Linked DNA regions of Arabidopsis thaliana. The protein of the gene in region 1 interacts with the protein of each later gene in a biochemical or structural test. Each region holds a gene or a part of one and is shown in the gene's direction. Other genes may lie near its edges.

Evidence for each region. Proteins that work in one complex are often made in the same cells at the same time.
Region 2: the proteins of SR1 (region 1) and CBL2 form a complex in vitro, tested with the Arabidopsis thaliana proteins (4 studies listed by BioGRID, with this or other methods).

What each region holds. Positions count from the first base shown.
Region 1 is NC_003076.8:312,226-317,734, reverse strand, and holds SR1 (serine/threonine protein kinase 1), read left to right. Parts: upstream 1-2,329; 5' UTR 2,330-2,983; coding exon 2,984-4,312; 3' UTR 4,313-4,545; downstream 4,546-5,509. UniProt on the Arabidopsis thaliana protein: CIPK serine-threonine protein kinases interact with CBL proteins. Binding of a CBL protein to the regulatory NAF domain of CIPK protein lead to the activation of the kinase in a calcium-dependent manner.
Region 2 is NC_003076.8:22,669,004-22,675,406, forward strand, and holds CBL2 (calcineurin B-like protein 2), read left to right. Parts: upstream 1-2,109; 5' UTR 2,110-2,542; intron 2,543-3,011; 5' UTR 3,012-3,068; intron 3,069-3,149; 5' UTR 3,150-3,185; coding exon 3,186-3,309; intron 3,310-3,445; coding exon 3,446-3,528; intron 3,529-3,626; coding exon 3,627-3,686; intron 3,687-3,782; coding exon 3,783-3,891; intron 3,892-3,966; coding exon 3,967-4,019; intron 4,020-4,113; coding exon 4,114-4,194; intron 4,195-4,271; coding exon 4,272-4,384; intron 4,385-4,518; coding exon 4,519-4,576; 3' UTR 4,577-4,627; exon of another isoform or gene 4,628-4,852; intron 4,853-4,910; 3' UTR 4,911-5,097; downstream 5,098-6,403. Other genes in the region: AT5G55970 (RING/U-box superfamily protein), read left to right, coding at 163-309; AT5G55980 (serine-rich protein-like protein), read left to right, coding at 1,298-1,639. UniProt on the Arabidopsis thaliana protein: Acts as a calcium sensor. CBL proteins interact with CIPK serine-threonine protein kinases. Binding of a CBL protein to the regulatory NAF domain of a CIPK protein lead to the activation of the kinase in a calcium-dependent manner.

The sequences.
Region 1 (5,509 bases):
AAGACGCGTGTCTATTAAGATCGAGAAAAAAAGAATGTTGTGTGTTTTGACCGTTAAGTGTTTGTAATTAATCTTCATGATGAAACGAATGTAAATCTATGTATACCAGAAATACAGTTTAACAAAAGAATTCTGGTTATCAAGCGTCGTTAGCTCAATTAGTAAAGACCCTAGGCGAAGCTTAGAGATCGTCGGTTCGAGTGACGCTTGGAACGAAACTAATATTACATGATGTGGTTTCGGGTCTGAGGAATTACGGGCTTCGACCCAGAACCTCCTGGTATTCAAAAAAAAAAAAAAAAAAAAAGAATTCTGGTTTTACGATATCAAATATCAATACATGCATATCGTGGACGGACAAATACTGTAATTAGATGTTGAATTAATGGAAATTATATAGTCGCCAGACCATTAATAAACGTAAGACAATGCTTACGGGAGATATCAGTTATGTTATCGTACGTTTCTTTCTTCTGCACGAAAGCCCTTTATTTTTCTTCCTGCAGCCTTCATTTATTCTTGCATTACGTTTTTTTTTTTTTTTTGTAAACGTGTTTATAACATATTAACATGGACCTCGTATATTCCATTTTTTTAATTCATTTTATTTATGTTTTCTTTTGTTAATTACTTCAGAAGTTATTTATGGTCATATATATTATATCGTTAAATTTTGTCGTAAAAATGGGTTATATGGTCACATTAATCTTGCATGGGACCAAAAGTAACAAGCTAAATTAATAATGTATTCTTTTATTTTGTTTGTCAACAATTAATAATGTATTCAAAATCAGTAGATATTTTGATTGGAGCAACCTTTCGAACCAACGAAAGAAAAGGGGCAATTATATAACCATCCATTTTTATTGACAGAACCTTGATTTCGTAATTATTTAACGAGCTTCTTTCCTTCCTCCTTCTCTTTTTCCCCAACGAAAGAAGCTTCCATGAAACAGCATCAGAAAAAATCAAAATTAAAAACAAATGAAATCTTTCGTACATCACATTATTAACGCGGTAATTTATTTTTATTTTATTCCCGTACATGTCTTTTAATGGATTTATATATATTAAAAAAGATGTTGATTTGGTTTTATGTGAATACTGTAGTACTAATTTATGCCTACCAAAAAAAAATAGTACTAATTTATGTGTGGCTTGGATTTATATATATGTACAAATGGGCACAGCGTGACAGCGAAAATAGTAACGTACGATTTATCTAATCTTTAAAACGTTGTGTGTTTTGGATAAATTACAAAAATAATTAAAATTGATTTTATATTTTGTTGTACGCTGCGGTGGGTAGATCACGTCGTAGATTTACTATAAAAATTGACACTGCAAAATTTATCCTCTTTTTTTTGGTATTAAACTTTAACCAAAACTTCACAAGATTATAAAAGCCTTGCACTCTAACAATGCAATGCGATGATTTCTAAGTCGTCAAATGTTTAAGTCTGAGGAATTGGGACATAATTAGTGTGATTGTGGGTAGTGATCATACATGGAACTAATACATCTTTATAAAATTATACTGACTTTCCAACTTAGCTAAGTAAGAAAATAGTAACTATTAAAAAAAAACAATGAGATAATGTTAAATATTAATCAAATTTGTTTTTCTTTTTTATTTTGGGCAAAAGTTATTTTTTCAAGCGCACTGTTTGTACTTTATAATGTGAAACATATATTGAAAATAATCAATTGAAATCTTAAATGTAGTCATATTTCTTTTTTTCAAAAAGCATCAAATAGATCAATTTGCCCATAAGACTCGATTTATTTTTCCACGAATATGGGAAAAAACAACTGGAGATTTTTAAAAAGGAATGACATATGTTTTCCAAATGTATTAACTAATGATTCCAACATAAGCAAATATATTTTCTAAAAATAGTGAAATAAACAACTGTGAAATGTATACAAAAAGCATGAAATATATTTTCCCAAGTATTGTTTAAATTTGATAAATAATTCAAGTTATTTGGAACAGTGATGGAGTGGAAAAATAAACATAAGAATCATAATTAAAAATGAACGTAGAGTTTAGATAGTGATTTGAAAAGATTAAGGAAGATTAGGAAATGACACTAGTTATAGGACGATTCCAACCTTGAGCAGTGGGGCGGGAGTTGTAGTAACCTGTCAACCGCAATATATAGCCTGGTGCTCAAAATGAGACTTGAACTAATACTAATAAGGGGAATTTGGATGTTCAAAGGACTTAACCACGATTGATGACTAAACAAAGCAGTGGTTAGCTGAATTACTAACTAACTAGAGCTAGCTGCCTAGGCTAGTCGAAAGAACAATTCTCCGTTTTGAGTTGACCATAAAATAATAATATTCAACAATATTGGAGGAAACATGTTTATATGTTCTTGTAATAATAATATTATAGCAAATAGCCGAAGATACGACGAAGCGTATATGTGTGAAATGAGTATATTCTACAGCCTAAACCCTCGGAGATACCAAATCAACACGACAACAGCGACGGGACACCTGTATGGTTCTAATTCAACTTCTTGTCCACATCTTCATCTTCTTCTTCTTCTTTTTTTAATAGATATATTAAGAAAACAAAACAGAAAATCTCCCACGTCTTTACAAAGAAAATAAAGAAGAAGAAAATAAGGAAAAAGAATCTGATAGTAATTGACAAAAATACCCTCATCTCCTACCTCAAGACAGTAATATATATGTAACAACTCGATACAGAGCATGGCTTATCTCTTATCCGAATCCTCCCAATTTGTCTGTCTCTCTTTTGTTTTCTCTGCTAACAGATCTCTCTAAATATCTGTTACTTTTGTTCATATCTTTTTACTTTTCAAACTACTAATTTTCCTTTCGCTTCTTCTATTAATAACAACACTCTCTCTCTCAGACTTCTTTTCTTTTTTTTCTACGGCGTTGATTCATTCGCAATGACCTCAGTTTCTGTGTACCATAATTGACCTAGCAGATTCTGTTTTTAATGGTAGATTCTGACCCGGTGGAATTTCCGCCGGAGAACCGCCGTGGACAGCTCTTCGGCAAATACGAGGTCGGAAAATTGGTGGGATGCGGCGCCTTCGCGAAAGTGTACCACGGGAGGAGCACAGCGACGGGTCAGAGCGTTGCGATCAAAGTGGTGAGCAAGCAACGGCTGCAGAAAGGAGGACTCAATGGCAACATTCAGAGAGAGATCGCTATCATGCACCGTCTGCGCCACCCTTCTATCGTGCGCCTGTTCGAGGTCCTCGCCACCAAATCCAAGATCTTCTTCGTCATGGAATTCGCCAAGGGCGGTGAGCTATTCGCCAAAGTCTCCAAGGGCAGGTTCTGCGAGGATCTTAGCCGTCGTTATTTCCAGCAGCTCATCTCCGCCGTCGGATATTGCCACTCCCGCGGCATCTTTCACCGTGATCTCAAACCGGAGAATCTCCTCCTCGACGAGAAGCTCGATTTGAAGATCTCTGATTTCGGACTCAGCGCTCTTACCGATCAGATCCGACCCGACGGCCTCCTCCACACACTCTGTGGTACGCCGGCGTACGTGGCGCCTGAGGTTTTGGCGAAGAAAGGGTACGACGGTGCTAAAATCGACATATGGTCATGTGGAATCATACTGTTCGTCCTCAACGCCGGTTATCTCCCTTTCAACGACCATAATCTCATGGTTATGTACCGGAAAATCTACAAGGGAGAATTTCGCATTCCCAAGTGGACCTCACCGGATCTCCGGCGACTGCTGACTCGGCTTTTAGACACGAATCCGCAGACGAGGATCACTATCGAAGAGATCATCCACGATCCATGGTTCAAACAGGGCTACGACGATCGGATGTCTAAATTCCATCTAGAGGACTCCGATATGAAACTCCCGGCGGACGAGACCGACAGCGAGATGGGAGCAAGGAGGATGAACGCATTCGACATCATCTCAGGATCTCCAGGGTTCAATCTCTCCGGTCTTTTCGGAGACGCCAGAAAGTACGACCGAGTGGAACGGTTCGTGTCGGCGTGGACGGCGGAGAGGGTGGTGGAGAGGCTGGAGGAGATCGTGTCGGCGGAGAATCTGACGGTGGCGAAGAAGGAAACATGGGGGATGAAGATCGAGGGGCAAAAAGGTAACTTCGCAATGGTGGTTGAGATAAACCAGCTAACGGACGAGCTGGTTATGATAGAGGTGAGGAAGAGACAAAGAGCCGCTGCATCTGGACGAGATTTATGGACAGATACACTCAGGCCTTTCTTCGTCGAGCTTGTGCACGAATCAGACCAAACGGACCCAGAACCAACTCAAGTACATACGACGTCGTAGTTTAGGTATCTGTCAAATAAATTATCCAAATAATAATTAAAAAAAAATATCCCGGGTTATATGTAATTGCTTTTTTTTTTACCCGGAGAATATCTCTGACATAATTATTCAGGAAATTTCTCGACAAATCTTAATTTTTAGTTGGCAAGTATGTATCTTCTTGTTATGTAATCATAATTATATTTTATATAAATGAAAAATAAAATATAAAAAAATGTATTACTTGTTTTAAATGGCCACTATAATACATTAGTAACGTATCGTGGATGTGAAGTAATGCTATGTGTACAAGACACTCTAACTTAACCATTACTTAAGGATTAGTTAACTATTCAACATGATATTTAACATACATATAGATGTAATTTTTAACAACTCATAAAACACAGTCTTCTTCTGCTATTAATTTTGTCATTATGTAAAAAGAAGTGTCAAGATTTGAGCCATGAACTAACACAACTGATCTACTTTCACCTTTTTGATAAGTAAGAGGTTGTCCTTATCACATCATTGTAAAAATATACTATTAAAATAGATATATAGCTAGTGGACTTTATATAATCCTATCGCATGTGGCTGTGATATAAGATCATACACCAATAATTCTCATCAATCATTTTCTTTTCTTGGTATCCACATTGAATCCAATCATCCATAATCCATTAATTTCAGCTTCAGCAGTTATAATTACTGTAATCAACATATATATCACCTTTTCAATGCAATAATTGTAGGCTCCACGATCTATATATTATCCAATTTACTATATACACAATCACATCGTACACTTTTAAAGCACTTAATATGCTTTAATTAATTCCTTAATTGTGGTTATATGTAACTAATTATCCTGTTGAGCATAAAAGGAAAAGTAGGAAACACACAAATGCAAAAATCTGACGAGCACGTTATGTTGGTTAGATTACGAAAAGACAAGAGTCTTAAATTGGGTGGTTTCCTTGGTTCTCCTTCAATCCAATTTGTAGTTGTTGGCCCACTAAAAGATAGCGGATTAAGCAAAACCCTTAGAAAAATATACTCTGCACTCTATGATAAAAGGTTTTGATTTGACCAACTGATAAATGTATGGTGTATATCCGATTATGGGCCAACGTGGTCCACTGGAGGCCGTGAATTCAATGAGCTTGTCCATTTTAGTCGTCTTCTCGAATTGGCCCAATCACAATCATCCAACCA
Region 2 (6,403 bases), about 22 Mb from region 1:
CTCTCAATTCAAGCCAAATCCACAAGTTTTCTTGGACCATAAGGTTTAATCTGTGATAGCTCTGTTTTGATCCACTAAGGGAATCTGATGTCGAATGTTGTCTATTAGTCTCGTTTATGATTGAAAAGGACTTAGATTTTGAGTTTTGATTTGGTTTTGCAGGAGTGTTGTATATGTTTGGCAAAGTATAAAGACAAAGAAGAAGTAAGGAAGCTTCCATGTTCACATAAGTTTCACTCAAAGTGTGTAGATCAATGGCTTCGTATCATCTCTTGTTGTCCTCTCTGCAAACAAGATCTTCCAAGATGACAAAGCAAATACCCTAAAAGCAACAAAAGCTCAATATAATTTTTTTCTTTCTCAGTTTTTTTTTTTTTTAGTTTTGGATTGAAGCAAAGTCGATTACTTGTGTGAGTGTCAAATTTTTTGTACATAAAGAGCTCACCAGTAATCGTTATGTACATTGTGAGTAGATGATGCAAATCACAATGGCAACAACTTTATAGAATCTTAATATAGTGTTTATACTACATATTTTGTTTTTTCTCTCGTCTCATTTACATATCTTGATGTATATATTTTTTTATATGTTCAATTTTTTTTTTTGCAATTTAAAACTGAAAACCCAAACATTACTTCATTAACTATCAATTAGGATGTCGGTTTTCTTAAAAGAAATATTTTTATAGCATTAACTATATCTCATAAGTATAAAAGTTTTGGACATGGCATCTAAATAGTTGGAGTCTTTGAGATGGTTTTGACTTCAGCTATATAAGTAAGTCTTAGGGTGTTTAATTTAGAGTTTGAATTTTAAGCCTTTGAGTCTGTCAAAACCTAAAATAGGCACAAACCAAACAAAAACAATCAGATGTTTTTTTTTGGTTACAGAATCTTTAAATTAGACTGTTCTAGATTCTCAATTGGCACTAACACAACTAAGTATGTTCCTAATTGGTTGAAAAGTCATAATATTTGTCCTTGCACAAAATGTGTAAACCATAAAAAGAAGAATAAAACCTCCAAGTCAAATATTTTCTACTAATTTACAATAACTCTTTTCTAGAATACTAACCACCAATAACTTAAAAAAGCAGTTTGTCAACAACATCCAACGACTATTTTTAGCTGCCTTCTCTCACAAGTCACTATTATAAATGACCTTTTGGATTCATTAGCAAGAAACAACACAAATCATTCTTTACCTTCATAACAAAAGTCACTATAGAAATTACCTTTTGATTCATTAGCAAGAAACAACAACACAAATTCATTCTTATTTACGTTCGTCAAAACCATGACGAAAGAAAACCCTTCAACCCTAAATCTCGGACAACCTAAGGCACAAGAAAAGTATTCCACAAGTTTAGCCAAGATCAACCCTAAACCCTCCGGTAGCTCTACCGTTGAATCGAAGAGCCAAGACAATAACTCACCTAGTTTAAAACGTTGGAGATCGTCCTCCGGTAAATCTACGAGGCTAAATTGTTTATGTTCTCCGACGACACACGCCGGTTCTTTCAGGTGCAGGTATCACCGCGTTGATTCGTTGACACGTGCCGGGTCTATTGGGTCGAACCTCGCTGTTTTATTGTCGTCCAAGTCGAGCCGGTTTAGTGACTCCCTCAAGGCTCAGTAAACCCGGTTACTGGATTTGTTCGGTATAATAACTGTCGGTTTTGTTATTTGTTTGTTTCTTCTACTTCTTCTTTTGACATTGTTCAATAATTTTTATCGAAAAAGACATTGGTCTGTATTACTAAACCGCTTGAAATCGGCTTAACCCGATTCAAGGTAAACTTTTATCTAATTTTCACCAATTTGATTCAAATTTAAGCATTTATTACATACACATTTTATATGCTTCAAAAATACTTGAAATGAATTTTTCTGTCTACATTTTATATAAAGAAAATATAAAATAATTTTACGAAGTCAGAAATAATACGCAATATAATATATTTTTGCAAATTTATATATATTGTAAACGTTTTGATGATCACATTATTTTTAAAATTTCTGAAGATATAATTGAACTTATCATTTCGGGAGGTTCGATTTTATATGTTACTTGTCAAAAATTTAAAATTTGACAATAGAAAAAAATGGCTATATCACATATTATCTTTGATTTTGTATGATTATTTTGCATTTAACATCGTAAAAAATGTACTAATTTGAAGATTTTTTGAAAACTTAAATTCTCCAATAGCACAATAGATCATATATTCTATGGGTGAATGTGAAATTCAAATTTATGTCCGGTTCAATTCAGCTCGAGTTTTACTTAACCGGAACGAAAATCAAATCGAACCGTATTTTGAAGAATAAAACGACGACGATTTGAGCAGATTTTTCAGGATTTAATTTGTAATAATGCAAAAAGATTGAGTTTTTGTTGTTTGTTGAGATATTTAAAAAGATTCTTCAGGTTTTAATTTGTTTTCCAACTCTCTCCTCTGCTTTACAACAAATCGTCTCCGTCTTCCTCGCTCAGCTTCAACAACCAGAGCCGACTTGAGATTGAGAATCAACGTAATCGGTAAATTTTCGTATACGCAAATCCATTCTACTCATTTTGAGTTCACTTACATATCAAGATTCTTCTATCTCTGTTGAATCTGCGATTCACGAATCCATTAGGACGATTTTTGGGGATCTAGATCGGGTTTTGTTTCTCAGAACCTGTAATTGATTGTGTAATCCTTGAGTTCATTAATGTATAAATTCAAATTTCCCAATTTGGGTTTGTTTCTGATGGATTTTATTAATTTTGTGTGTCCATAAATTGTGATGTTTAAGATTAAAATTTGGTTAATGAGCTTTGATTAAGTCTTTAGATTCTCCATTAATTTTCTTATCTTCTTCAATATTGTATATATTATGTGGACATAACTGAATCATCTGAATAGTAAAATCATGATAATGACTTCAGTTTCTAAGCAATGTTTGTGTTGCCTATATTGACTGACTTATTTAGATTACTCTGAATTTTGCAACTTGTGTTACAGATACTCTCGCAAAGTCTCATCCTTTCTCAGCAAAAAACACTAGGAAATGGTTGAAAGGTACAGTGTTCTTCATATGCTTGCTTCTGTAGAGCTGTTTTTTGAAATTAGCAAAACAAGTTCACAATGTTTTATATGCAGGCATGGAGAGTTTTGATTTGCTGCTTAAGATATATCATGTCGCAGTGCGTTGACGGTATCAAGCATTTATGCACCTCTGTTTTAGGGTGTTTTGATCTTGATTTGTATAAACAATCTGGTGGCCTTGGAGATCCTGAATTGCTTGCAAGAGACACTGTTTGTATGCCCTATCACCTTCTCTACTCTTTTTTTTTTTTTTTTTTTCCGGTTATAAGATTCGATGCAATACCATTTGAGGAATGCAAAAATATTTCTTCTGAAGACTATTGATGATTGAATTTGGTTTTGGAATGCAGTTAGTGTGAGTGAAATAGAAGCTCTTTATGAGCTTTTTAAGAAAATCAGCAGTGCCGTGATTGATGATGGGCTAATAAACAAGGTATAACTCTAACTTGTTTGATCTTCTTCCTCATTTGGTAAAGCTTTAGTGATTGATCTAACAATCTGTCTAATTTACTCATCTCTTGTTTGTATCAGGAAGAGTTTCAGTTGGCTTTGTTTAAGACAAATAAAAAAGAGAGTTTGTTTGCAGATCGGGTAATGTTTCTTTCTTCACATTATAAGTGTTCTTAAACCCATTTTTGTCAAGATCAAGTTTAGAAGAAATGCTGAAATATGTGATTTTGTTTCTAGGTTTTCGATTTGTTTGATACAAAGCACAATGGAATACTGGGGTTTGAGGAATTTGCTCGTGCTCTCTCCGTCTTTCACCCAAATGCGCCTATAGATGACAAAATTCACTGTACGTCCCTTTTAGCTTGTATCTCAAAAACAAGATTGGGATAACACATTAATGATATATACTATTTTTTTGCAGTTTCATTTCAGCTATATGATCTTAAACAGCAAGGGTTTATCGAACGGCAAGAGGTAAAGCTTCCATATCTTCAAATAGCTTCATATATAACCTTGTAGAAGTGCGCTTTATTATCCTCACTGACATTTTCGTCCATCATTTGTCCAGGTGAAACAAATGGTTGTCGCTACGCTTGCTGAATCTGGAATGAATTTGAAGGATACTGTCATTGAGGATATAATCGACAAGGTAAGTTACTTACTTTTTTTCCTCTTCACCCTATATTTTTTCTTTGAAAGTAATTTCCCGAGTTTTGAATGTTTCAGACGTTTGAGGAAGCAGACACAAAACACGATGGAAAGATCGATAAGGAAGAGTGGAGAAGCCTTGTTCTTAGACATCCCAGCCTTCTGAAGAACATGACTCTTCAATATCTCAAGTGAGTTCCAAATCTTTCTATTTATATAACCAGGATTGAATCTATTCAACCAAATTCCTTCTCTGGTTTCTCTTTCTTCTATTCTCCATGATATGTAATAAAGGTCGTGATCCTGTTGTGTGCTTGCTCTGCAGGGATATCACGACTACGTTTCCAAGCTTTGTGTTCCATTCTCAGGTTGAAGATACCTGAAAAAGCAAAAGCAAAAGCAAGCAGCGGCAAGACATCATTGTATTGTTGAAGGTTGTTCTTTCGTTATGGTTCTTTATTTGTTACATTTCTAAATCTCTGAACTCATTTTATTTTTTATTGAGCTTTTTTTGTGAAGCAAAATTCTTCTTTTTAGTTTGGTTTTTGTCCTTTTTGATTTCGCTCGGTCTATCTGTAGATACAACTTTTGCATCTTGATGTTATGGTAATGTAAAGTTTTTCAGTTTATTTATTAATCCAATTAAAAAGATTTGCTTCAATCTCTGTGTTTTGGTTATTAGAGTTAGCTTTTAATATTAATTCAATGGATTTCTAGATTGCAAGCAAAACTAGTCATTTCATATGTGACTTGTAAGCAAAACTAGTCAAAACTGAGTGATGTCACCAGCCCTCCTAATGACGAGTTTTCCGAGATCAGCTCCACAAGAATCAACTTACATGATGACAAAAAGTGGATCTTCGATGAGACGCCATTAGAGAGAAGAGGAGATGATCTTACCAACAAGGGTATACGAAAGCAGAGCTTCGGGGGATGGTTGAGAAGCAGAGACATGAATAATGTTCTTCCAAAAAGAAGAAGAGGTGAGAAAAGGGAAAAAAAACCTAATTGAAGAATTAGCGATTTTCCCTCACCAAGAACCCTACATTAATACAAAAGGAAGTGACTTGCCAATCAAGTTTCCCATCCATTGTAGATGAGGGGAACATTGTGTTTGTAGTAAGGCAATGGAAGAATGACTCATTTATGCTTCAATGACTTCCATGTTCTTTCTTGAGGAGAAGGAAGACCATTCTTCTTGTTTTGCTACACAAGACTGAAATAAGAAACCTCTTCTAAAAGTTCTTCACGCTCCATGTAGACTATCTCTTTCTCCAAGGAGCGCTTTTCATTTAGAAAAAGCAACTTTTACTCTTCATCTTATCTTCGGCCATACTAGACGCAAACTCAACTTCAAGATCAAACAGTGCTTCTAAAGCCAACTCAACTCAATAGCCATACTTCATGCCGTCTCTTCAGCTTTTTTATCTTTCAAAGGAATATTTCATTAATATGATTTAGTTTTTATTTTATATACATCATTTTGACATATATATTTTTGAAAATTAATTTTATGCTTTAAACCACAAAAAAGTTTAAGTTTGGACCTTTCACATTTAGGTTTCAATTATTGTCTACATGTTTTCATAACTATATTCACACAAATAACTAAAATCTCCTCATAGAAAAAAGATTAATTGGTTTGAAAGAATAAAAAGAGTATAAAAGATTATTTTTCTATGGTTAAAAAATATGAGAGATTTGCCTTGGAAACGATAGTTAAAATTCAAAGAAACTAAGCTTGATATAACTACAAGTTTCGTACATAAAAATGTCGAAATTGTTAGATGTAATGAAGCCAACTTTAGCTTGAAGCCTCACCATGTAATGTTTTATCTCGCCGGAGAAAAAAAAATTCATTTATCGGTGAAATTAATTTATAAGACCAACTAAAACATCAAGCACATTAGATCTATTAATGATTGATTAATGTTAATGTGCTTTTAAAATTGAATAAAACACATGATCAATCATATTTTTAGCGTATAAAAAATAAATCATATAAACGAGATGGAAGACCATTCTTCTTGTTTTTCTTTACAAGACTGAAATAAGAAACTTCTTCTAAAAGTTCTTCACGCTCTATGTAGACTATCTCTTTCTCCAAGAAATATATACTACCAAACACTTTTCATTTTGAAAAAACAGTTTTTACTCTTCATCTTATCTTCAGCCATACTAGACACAAACTCAACTTCAAGATCAAATAA